2 linked regions of the Drosophila melanogaster genome follow. The protein of the gene in region 1 interacts with the protein of each later gene in a pairwise test. Each region holds a gene or a part of one and is shown on either strand. Other genes may lie near its edges.

Region 1 (6,457 bases):
CATCTCCTTTCGAGACCCATGACGTTAGTGTCGTCTAGCAGAGTCACTGGGAACTACCTCTGCAGCTAAACTGTCCCATTGCTCCGAGAAAGAACAATTGTAAACCAATTCTGTAATCGATTCGACTTCCTCTCAATTTCTGTTTTGTTTTATTCTGTTTTTGTTTAGTCTTAAAGCCCCCCCCAGTCCATTCCCTTCTGCAACTTGTTAGTCATTATATACACAGATCACTTACACTTAGGCGAGCTTCAGGCGGCTGGAAAAGGGGAATGATTGGGGTTTCGATCGGGAAGAAGTGGAGTTGTGAAGGCGCCGCTTATTAACTGCGATTAACTGCAATGTAGATCAATCACTTTTGTAGAACCATTTAATGACATTAAATAAAGTATTTTACGCATTGCTAGAAAACCTCAGACCGGCGTCTTTCTATCTACTTGTGGAGGTGAAATGTAATTAATGATATGGGTATATGGCGTTTATGACAACCATAAAAGATGGCCAGTAAAGGTTAAGAGTACAGGTTACCCAGAGGGTGTTAATCATATAAAGAATGTCATTGTTGATATTTTAGTAGGAATGCAGAGCTCTTAGCTTTTTATTTATATATTTTGAATCGTAGGCAGGCCTTTTACATTCAGTCGCATAGATCCATTTCGAAAATCAGTCTTTCCTTTTCGGCACGTCGTCAAAATCTGAATTCAAAATTCAACATATTTATTTTTCGTCAAAATTAGGTTTCAGTGACTGAAAATTTCTAAAAACGTTTTCAACACATAACAAATTCTTTGGTATAGTAATTTTGTCAAATTTCTAGTTTTTAAGCTTTTATATGAGAATGGACAAGTCGGAGAAACGCTCTAATCTTGCTGATAACTTCCTGTATATGTTGGAGTTCATGGTGGACGATCTGCTGATCACTCGTCCCAACCTCTGCGCTCCGGAGGAGTATCCCACTTGCACGGAGATCACGTTCCGTTCGGTTTTCCTGAACATCCGCGATCGGGAGAACGGAAGCTGTGTCAACCCCTGTTCGCCCAAGTGCGGCAAGTGCACCCTCTTCACGCTGGAATCGCCGATCACGGACGAGGACGTGATGCACATTCACGTTTACAAGAAGCGCACGGAGAGCTGCAAGTTCCTGCTCGGGCTGACCGAGCTGCCGATGAAGCCGATCTTCGATAGGGTGAAGAAGGAGTTCTATTCACAGAACATAAACTGGGAGAGTAACGTCGAGTCCCATTTGTCGCGAATGCCCAAGCTGAGGGGCCCCTGCAAGAAGGCCAATGACTGTGTGTGCTACGAGAGGAATAGGGAGCGGCGCGAACAGTGGTGTCCCACCTCAGAGCTGACCAAGCGGATGCTGCCGCTCTTCAACCTCTGCAAAATGCAGACGGGCAATATAGTGCTGATCCTGAGACTGGTGTGCAATGGGCCCTCTGTGGTATCCTCCTTCCCCGTCCAGAGACCAGTGTGCAAGGATCCCTGCAACTGTTGCTGTCCTTGCCCGCCCACTTGGCCTGCTCCCTGTTCGTCGCCATTCGATCCCTGCGATCCTTGCAAGACCGTGCCAGCCAAGAAGACATGAGTAGGAAATGCAGCTGCGAGCCTTTATATTCCGTACTCATTTAGTTGCCATAAGCATTTTTATTGTTTGACAAGGGATGCGCCTAGCAACTGATAATCATTCGCATATCTTAACTATAAATAAAGTATTTGAATAATTTTTATACCAATTCTGGTGTTTCAGTGACTTGAGGAGGCTATTGTCCATTATAATATAATTTAATATTAAAATTTATATATATGTTAGAAATAAGACCTTACTAGGCATTTTAGGCGTAATAAAATCTACATACAGACAGACTCATCTGCCTAAAAGACAATCTTAATATCGAAAATCAAGGAATCAAGTTTTCAAAATTCATCCGATTCCAGTAGCCCTCGCAAATCCAGTCGGTTTAGCAGTTCGAACACCACAGTCTCCCCGTCTGGACGGCCATTCAAAATCAGAATCTAAATTCAAATTTACTCACAAAATTTTTGGAAGTGCGAGTGTTCGGGCATATAAATTTCTAGTTTCGACAAAACAAAAGCCTAGCCAAAATTATTTCCTTTGAAAATGGACAAGTCTGATAAAACTGAGAAAACTGAGAAATCCGATAAGTCTGAGAAGCCAGAGAAACCTCCCAAGATTGCAGGAAACTTCCTCTACATGTTCGAGTTCGTAGTGGACGATCTGCTGATCACACGCCAGAATCTTTGCGCTCCGGAGGAGTATCCAACCTGCACAGAGATCACGTTCCGCTCGTCGGTTTACGTGAATCTCTGCGATCGGGAGGTGGGCACGTGTGTTAACCCCTGTTCGCCCAAGTGCGGCAAGTGCGCCCTCTTCACTCTGGACTCCCCCATTACGGACAAGGATGTGCTGCAGGTGCATGTCTATAAGAAGCGCACGGAGAGCTGCAAGTTCCTGATAGGACTGTCGGAGCTAAAGGTGAAGCCCATCTTCGACAGGGTGAAGGAGTCCTTTGACATCGAGAATCCTGACTGGGAAGACGCCATGCTGGGGCACATCGCCCAGCTGCCCAAGATGAAGGGTCCCACCAGCAAGGGCCTCCTGGACAACTGTGCCTGCTACGAGAAGCTGAACGAACGTCACGAGCAGTGGTGTCCCACATCGGAGTTGTCCAAGCGACTGCTGCCCCTCTTCAATCTCTGCAAGATGCAGACTGGCAACATAGTGCTGATCCTTAGATTGGTGTGCAATGGTCCGACCATTGTGTCCACGTTCCCCTTCAGCAAGGTCTGCTCCCGCAATCCCAAGTGCCCGGAGCCCTGCTGCGGTCCTTGTGGCCCCTGTGGTCCCTGCGGCCCCTGCCCACCACCTCCCAGCTGCGGCTCGTGCCCACCGCCTCCTAGCTGTGGCCCACCATGTCCTCCACCCTGCGACCCCTGCGATCCGTGCGATCCCTGCAGTCCCTGCTGTGGCGGCGGAACTGCCACCGGCGGGCCCATGGATAAGAAGGGCTGCAAGGGCTCGTGTGCCCAGCCTCCTTGTCGTCGCTGTACAATGGTGGATCCTTGTGCCAAGCGAGTTGAGCCTCCGGCAAAGTGCCTCAGGTACTACTCGTGCAATCTGGACAAGCTCTGTCCCTGTGACTACTGCGAGGACGAGTTCGATAGAGGTGACTATAATCTATCATCAGCATATATAAATGCTTCCTTTTAATGATGTAATGTATATACTTCTTCCCAGAATGCCCCACTGTTCCCACAAAGCGTTGCAATCTCTCGCCGATCGAACAAAAGCTGCAGAAATGCGGTCCCTGCGGCGGAATTCCACCGTACCCACGCTTCATCCAGGAGAAGATGCAGGCCGAGCTCTTGAACAAACCGGAAAAGGATCCCAAGAAGGACAAGGATGGCAAAAAGGGTGGCAAGGATGGAAAGGACGCAAAGGATGGAAAGGGTGGCAAGGACGACAAGGGCAAGAAGAAGCGTCAGGCTGGAGGTGCTGTTTGCCGCGTAGGAGACGAGAATAGTCCGTCCGCCGTCTACGAAGACTGCGATCCTGTCTGCGCAGGAGTCCTCCAGGCGACCAAGAAAATTCGGTACAAGGAGCCCACTGTCAGGTGCAACGGACGGGAGGAGGAGTACGAAATGGCCTGTGATGAAGGTGAGCTCATATATGTATGTATTTAGAAAACGATTTCAACTGGGATTTCGAGAATGCCAAGTAGGCTTCGAAATGAACAACAACACAAACGTCTCGTAACTCCAGCGAAACATTTAGTAACATCTAGTAGTCGGGGTGTAGAAGATCACTCGTTTAGCATTTGTTTTATACATTCGAACGGGAAATGTTGTCTGCCGCACAAAATACAGAAAAATAAAATCTTTCGTTGTTGTTACCCGAGTTTTGGATGGAAATTAAAACAGAGAATCAGTACGTCCGAACTATTTTTTTTCCTATCAAGTTAAAAAATTTTCGAAGCGATCCACTAACCCAAATTCAATTTTCATTTCAGCGCGAAAACGAGCTGTGCGGAAATTGCGCCACTTACTGGTGAAGTACAATATCCAAATTGAGAATTGAAGGCTTTCGGAATTGAGATTTCAGCTTGAGCCTAGTGAATAATTGTATTGACTTACACACTCAATCACTCAACCGCACAACATGGCCAAGAAGAGGGGAAGAAAGGGCAAGAAGGGCAAGAAGCCAAAGGTCGACTGCAAGTTCAAGATCACCAATGAGATGCTCAAGCCCATGAACGAGAGTAAGTACACGCGGATCCCTGCACCGAAGCTCGGGCTTAAGGATGATTCATCCCTTCCAATTGGTATCCTCAGATGTGGACGACTGTGATGGCTGCTGTCAGTGCGCCTGCGATTGCGACTGCAGTCCGGAGTTGGCTCCCTGCTTCATCCAGCCGACCAAGCCGGATCCGGGTCCGGAGGCGTACGACGAGTTCGAGGCCTGCCTCAATGGCAGCGGTCTGACCATACGCGTACTCAAGAACACCCACAAGGTGGAGAGCGTGATGGATGGCAGCGAGACTGCGCCCAATCTGGGCGCAGGCGATGATCCCTGCTATCGCGATGACCCCAATGACTGCGAGCCCGCAAAGGAGTCCTGCCTGCACGATATGCTCCAGCGCAGCTCCTTCGCTCGCAACCACATCAAGCGCCGGACCGGCGGCCGCATCATCAACCACCCGAACATCCCCAAGGTGCGAGCCAATATCAAGTACTCTGGGAACGATGCCTGCGAGACCGACAACTACTACGTGCCCTTCTCGAAGATCAAGGAGGCCTGCGACTTCCAGGAGGCCAAGGTCGACTGCTACCGCCAGCGACTCTGCGGCGGATCCGATCCCATCGTGCCCGCGCACTGTCCCGTCCAGAACCAGCGATCATGTTGCATGCAGGTCGAGCGGAAGGACATCATGGACACCATGAAGGGTGTCAATTTGGACACAAGGCGCAAGGGTATCGAGGTGAGTCCATCCTATATTCATTTGCGCAGCACTGAGTGGCCTAAGGAAATCCATATTTCAAGAATGTTCGATCTTAAATCATTAACCACAATCGCCGATCGCCTCCGCATTCCATTTTTTAAGTTCGCCAGTTACGTGTGCGGATGCGGAATGTGGATCGATTGGTAGTCCGTGACTTTGCCCCCCTAAACGTTGTTGCAGGTGGTGCAACTATGCCACTTCTGCCACTTCGGGAAGGCTTTCGATTGCCTCAATTGTGGGGCAGTTGCGTAACATCTGCCAGCTCCAAGTGTGGAGCACTCTTTTCAGTTTGCGGTGGCAATCCGCTACAGCTTTTTTATTTATGGTAATTTCTGCGAAAGATGCAACGCGTTGCATTGAGACTATTTTGGTTAGCTGTTGCATAGTATCTAAAAAGATTTGTCGCTTTTCTTATTTTTCAGGTTTGCTACAAGACCTGCGAGGAGACCGACAGCGACGTGTTCCTAGTAAAACTGGGAAGTAAGGCCAAGTCGCAGCACAAGAAGAATACCATCGAGATCGAGCTGCGGACGCCCAAGCAGCCCGTAACCCTTCCGATCAGCAAGGTGACCACGGAGACCTATGTTTCCGAGGAGATGCTAACCGGTGGCAAGAAGGGGAAGAAGGGCAAGAAGGGCAAGGGCAAGAAGGGCAAGGGCAAGAAGAAGAAGTAGACCAAGAGATCCGTAGGCGGATCCCATTCCCATCGACCGGACTTGACGCTTACCCTTTCGGAACACATCCTTTGGCATTTTGGAAGCGACTCTTTGAAAATTCACAGCAGCAATTATTGAAATTTGGCTCTGGTACTAACCCATTCATATTAACCCGTCCAGTAAGATGCACGAACACTCACTTTTTCGACTAGTTACGTAAATGTATGCTTTTGATTGAATTAAAATTAAGAAAAAAAAAAACAATAATTCTAGTCCCATTTATGATTAGTTGATCTGATCCCTCACTGATTGATCTGATGTAGATACCCTAACCCGCAGTAATCTGCTTGCAAGTGTATATGCCCATCTTCATTAAGGGCACTTAACTGCCCAGTCAAGGCCGCGGAGGTGTTTCATCTGCAATTGAGGCGGGTCTAAAAATAGCCGACAAAACCAATTCGCGATGCAGAACTCTGATGCCGATCCGATCCGATCCGACCATCTTCATCTATTGCACACCTGTAATTAAAAGCCAGAAATCTTCGCGGGAGGGAGCATCGAGGAGGAGGAAAAGCCGCCGTTGGATGCAGCGGCAGCTTAGCGGTTTGGTCACTTTGCAGTGACTATACTATACGGAGAGGGAGAGATCCGAGAGACCAGAGATCGCAGATCGGGCCAGCTGACCGATCCGATCGGTGGCTCGGAGAGGAGTCGAGCGAGGAACTCGTTTTAGTCGCGTTCAAACGCTTTAGTCTGTAAGTTAACACGGCGAGTGCGAACGCA
Region 2 (3,344 bases), about 20 Mb from region 1:
TACTGCCAAGCTTTTCGCCTCCGTTGCCATAGCTTTCCGAATGGAAAAGCTTCCGCGAACACGCTCTTCAAGTTCAATGAGACATGGGCGGCGCTTTTTGTAAGGCTTATCAACTTGATCGGGCATATGTATTTTCAAGGCGCGACTTGGACATCCTTATCGCCAGAGCACGGCGTAACTTTCCAGAGAGGTAGGTGTGTCATCGGTCCATCATCGAATCCATCAGGTGATGGCTGAGTGCCGTGGCGTGCGCCATCGCGTGTCCAAGCAACAGTGTTAAATGTTTTTTCTTAATTCCAGCCAAGCACGCCGTATTAAGCTGATCTGTATTATTATGAAACTGAGTGCCTTGTCCGCTCTCTTAATCTTCTGTTGAGTGACTTCTTATCTTTGAGCAACTCTCAACACGTTTTCTCTTCGGTCTTTTGGTCTTATCACCTAGAAGGTTTCCATGGGGGAGCAGACGACGTCTGCCACCCGCAGGTCAAGATGCCCAATTTAAATATAACATTTGGATTTATTGTTGATTCTTATTCGTAACAAATTTCAAGAGCTACAACAACGTGTGTATGGCGATGAGTTTGGTTGGTGATATTTGGGTATGAGTGTAGCGTTATTCAGCTGATAACAAATGCTAACAATTACTCGTTTTAAAGGCTACAGTCAAGATGCTTTAGGGTTAGGATTAGCTGCTGGTTCTAGTGATCCCCACTGCTGCTCAGGAAGGCTTTGTACTGATCCTCGGTCATAAGGGCTTCGAGTTCCTTGGGATTCTTCAGGTCCACCTTGAAAAGCCAGCCTGTAAAAGAAAAGTACGTGTTTCAAGTGAAGTTAAAAAGGGGTCTTCACGCAAATCTTACCCTTCTCATAGCAACTGCTGTTGACTAGGGCCGGTGTGTCCTCCACCTCGGCATTCTTTTCAATTACCTTGCCACTAACGGGTGAATACACCTCGCTAGCCGCTTTAACGCTCTCCAGGGCCCCACATTCGTCATCCTGCTTGAGTTCCGTGCCGGGTTCTGGGAGTTGGGCGAACACCACATCCCCGAGAGCCTCCTGGGCGTAGCTGGAGATGCCTACTATGGCATTGCTGCCGGATACCACCTCCACCCACTCGTGTTTGTTTGTGTATCGGCGTTCTGGCGGGGATTACAGTTTGAGATTCAGTGGCTATTGCATAAACAATTGCCTTACCTTTGGCTAGAAGGCTTGTCAGGTGAATGGCGCGAGCCTGGACGGCGCCAAGGGGCGTGACACTAAGCTGGCGGGCGGCCTGCAGCCCAATCCTTGCGAATTTCGTTATGAATACCATATTTTCCCAGTCAAAAACAAAGGCAACTGCCGGCGAGATGAATTTTCCAACCGTTCCCGGGGGTGTTTCGGTGACAAGTGATCCGATTTGAAAACACACACGCTACGTTTAATGCCCGGCAATCGGGATGAAAGTCGAATATTGCCCGGCTTATCACAATCCAGAATATAATTCGTGAACTTTTGTTGACCCGAGTAAACAGCGGCTTCTTCAAAATGTGCCTAAAAATGGCGTAAGGCATGCATATCGATAGCGATAATAGATTACCGGTTATCGCACTGCCCAACATTTCGGCGGGCAGATTGAAAACTTCAAGATTTATTTAGTTTATTGGTGGACTGTATTTCTTATAATTAAATTTGAGCTTTCGCACTTTCGATTTAATTAGAAAATAGTGCACCACAAAAATACTTCAATTACATAAGTTGTCAAAATGGTTGCTTCTATTTGAAATATTAAAAAATGTAAAGAAATCAAACATACATAATGTATTTTTCAAACAGGTGCTTTACTTTTATCTCTTCTAAATGTTGAGATCAGACTAAAGATTAAAGCAGTCATCTTAATTTCCGACAACACGTCGATGCTCCTCCTGTATTTCTTATCTACTCCCAATTAATCGTTGCTGGGGGCCGATTTATTTCCTTATCAGCTCTACAAAAAAAAAAAAAAAAAACAAATTAGCATATATAAACAAATACCATTCCACTGCGGAACTAGAACGGCTTTATATATTTACAGCTGTACACTTATATCGTTATAAACATGCAAATAAATAAGAATAAAAACGCAGAAGAAGTTGCCCCCCCTGATAAAATTTGAACTAAACTTTAGCTGGGATTATTTGAGAATTATAGTATCGAAGAGGGCTTTTTTGGGGGCGCCAAGGGGCTTAGTAATCTAGTACTGGTTGTGGCGCAGAACGCCATTGGGACTGGGCTGCGGGGAGTAGTCCGGCACGGGGAATCCCGAGGTGGCCACCACAATGGTCTCCATGGGATTCTGCGAAGATTGCTTCAGCGGGCGACTTTGCTGCGGATTCGGAGGCGGGTACTGCTGGTACGCGTTGAGGTCCCTGAAGCGACGATCCATTAGGTTCGAGTCCATCGACAAGTGCGCCGCCCGCACGATGGCTCCCTCGTTCACCTGGATGGTCTCGGCCATGGAACGGGTTTCCGGAACGTAGGCGGCATTGTTATACGCCTGGACCTCCACCCTGTCCATACAAATCGAGAATTATTTTCAAGACATTAAGGATGTGTGAATCGTTATACTTACTCCTCGTAGGCGCGAATCGGGGTCCTGGTGGTCAGAATATCATTGGAATCCTTGCGAGGATTGAACAAAGTATCCTGTGGAAAAGGGCATGTTTGTTTGATTTTAGGCAAGATAGCTATAGCTCATTCAAGATTTTGTAATTAATTTATATTAAGGAAGATATTTGAGGCTTTTTAAGGATACTTTAAGTGTACACTGAGTTAAGAACACCTCAGTTCAAGCGAACTGTCCTTGCAAAGAACCCCCGCACCTAAGGCCCAGTAAGTCGTCATTTTCCAGCGTGCTCGGTCAAACCAAACCGAAAAGCCAAGAGCCCGCTATCAGGCAAACCTGGTGCCAAATTGGAAACCAGCTTATCAGCAATTACCACCACCACATTGAGTTAATGGCGACAAAGTGCTAAGTTTAGCCATGTCGTAGTCGCTGCCCGGCGATTTTTAACTTCTACGTTGTTGGAATATTTTCAAAGGCAGTGTCGAAAATTTATGGAATCAGCGGAGACAACGAAGAAGTCACTCAGCATTGGTGGGCGATGAGCTCACTCGCCGACCTGACCACAACTTACCACATTGTCCTTATCGGTGGAAATTCGAATGGCTCTCGCGACAAGGTATGCGAGCAGTCCAAAGTTAATGAACCACAGAACGAATCCCTTGAAGGAGATGACCATCATGGAAATGGCAGCCACTCCTCCGGCGATCAAGGTGGCAGCCAAGGGATAGATGACACCAGCATTGATACTATTGGCATTATA

What was found. The genes of interacting proteins can lie anywhere in the genome.
Region 2: the proteins of CG9130 (region 1) and ppl interact in a two-hybrid assay, tested with the Drosophila melanogaster proteins (one large-scale study listed by BioGRID).

What each region holds. Positions count from the first base shown.
Region 1 is NT_037436.4:1,250,048-1,256,504, forward strand, and holds CG9130 (uncharacterized protein), read left to right. Parts: upstream 1-1,964; 5' UTR 1,965-2,119; coding exon 2,120-3,185; intron 3,186-3,256; coding exon 3,257-3,676; intron 3,677-3,805; exon of another isoform or gene 3,806-3,946; intron 3,947-4,028; coding exon 4,029-4,096; 3' UTR 4,097-4,177; coding exon of another isoform or gene 4,178-4,277; exon of another isoform or gene 4,278-4,319; coding exon of another isoform or gene 4,320-4,997; intron 4,998-5,440; coding exon of another isoform or gene 5,441-5,692; 3' UTR 5,693-5,939; downstream 5,940-6,457. Other genes in the region: Sac1 phosphatase, read left to right, coding at 1-22; Bfc (booster for Crq), read left to right, coding at 830-1,585; CG9133 (uncharacterized protein), read left to right, coding at 4,178-4,277, 4,351-4,997, 5,441-5,692.
Region 2 is NT_037436.4:21,279,991-21,283,334, forward strand, and holds ppl (pumpless), read right to left. Parts: upstream 1,517-3,344; 5' UTR 1,313-1,516; coding exon 1,195-1,312; intron 1,140-1,194; coding exon 861-1,139; intron 800-860; coding exon 699-799; 3' UTR 501-698; downstream 1-500. Other genes in the region: CG12974 (uncharacterized protein), read right to left, coding at 2,213-2,528, 2,591-2,664, 3,156-3,344. UniProt on the Drosophila melanogaster protein: The glycine cleavage system catalyzes the degradation of glycine. The H protein shuttles the methylamine group of glycine from the P protein to the T protein.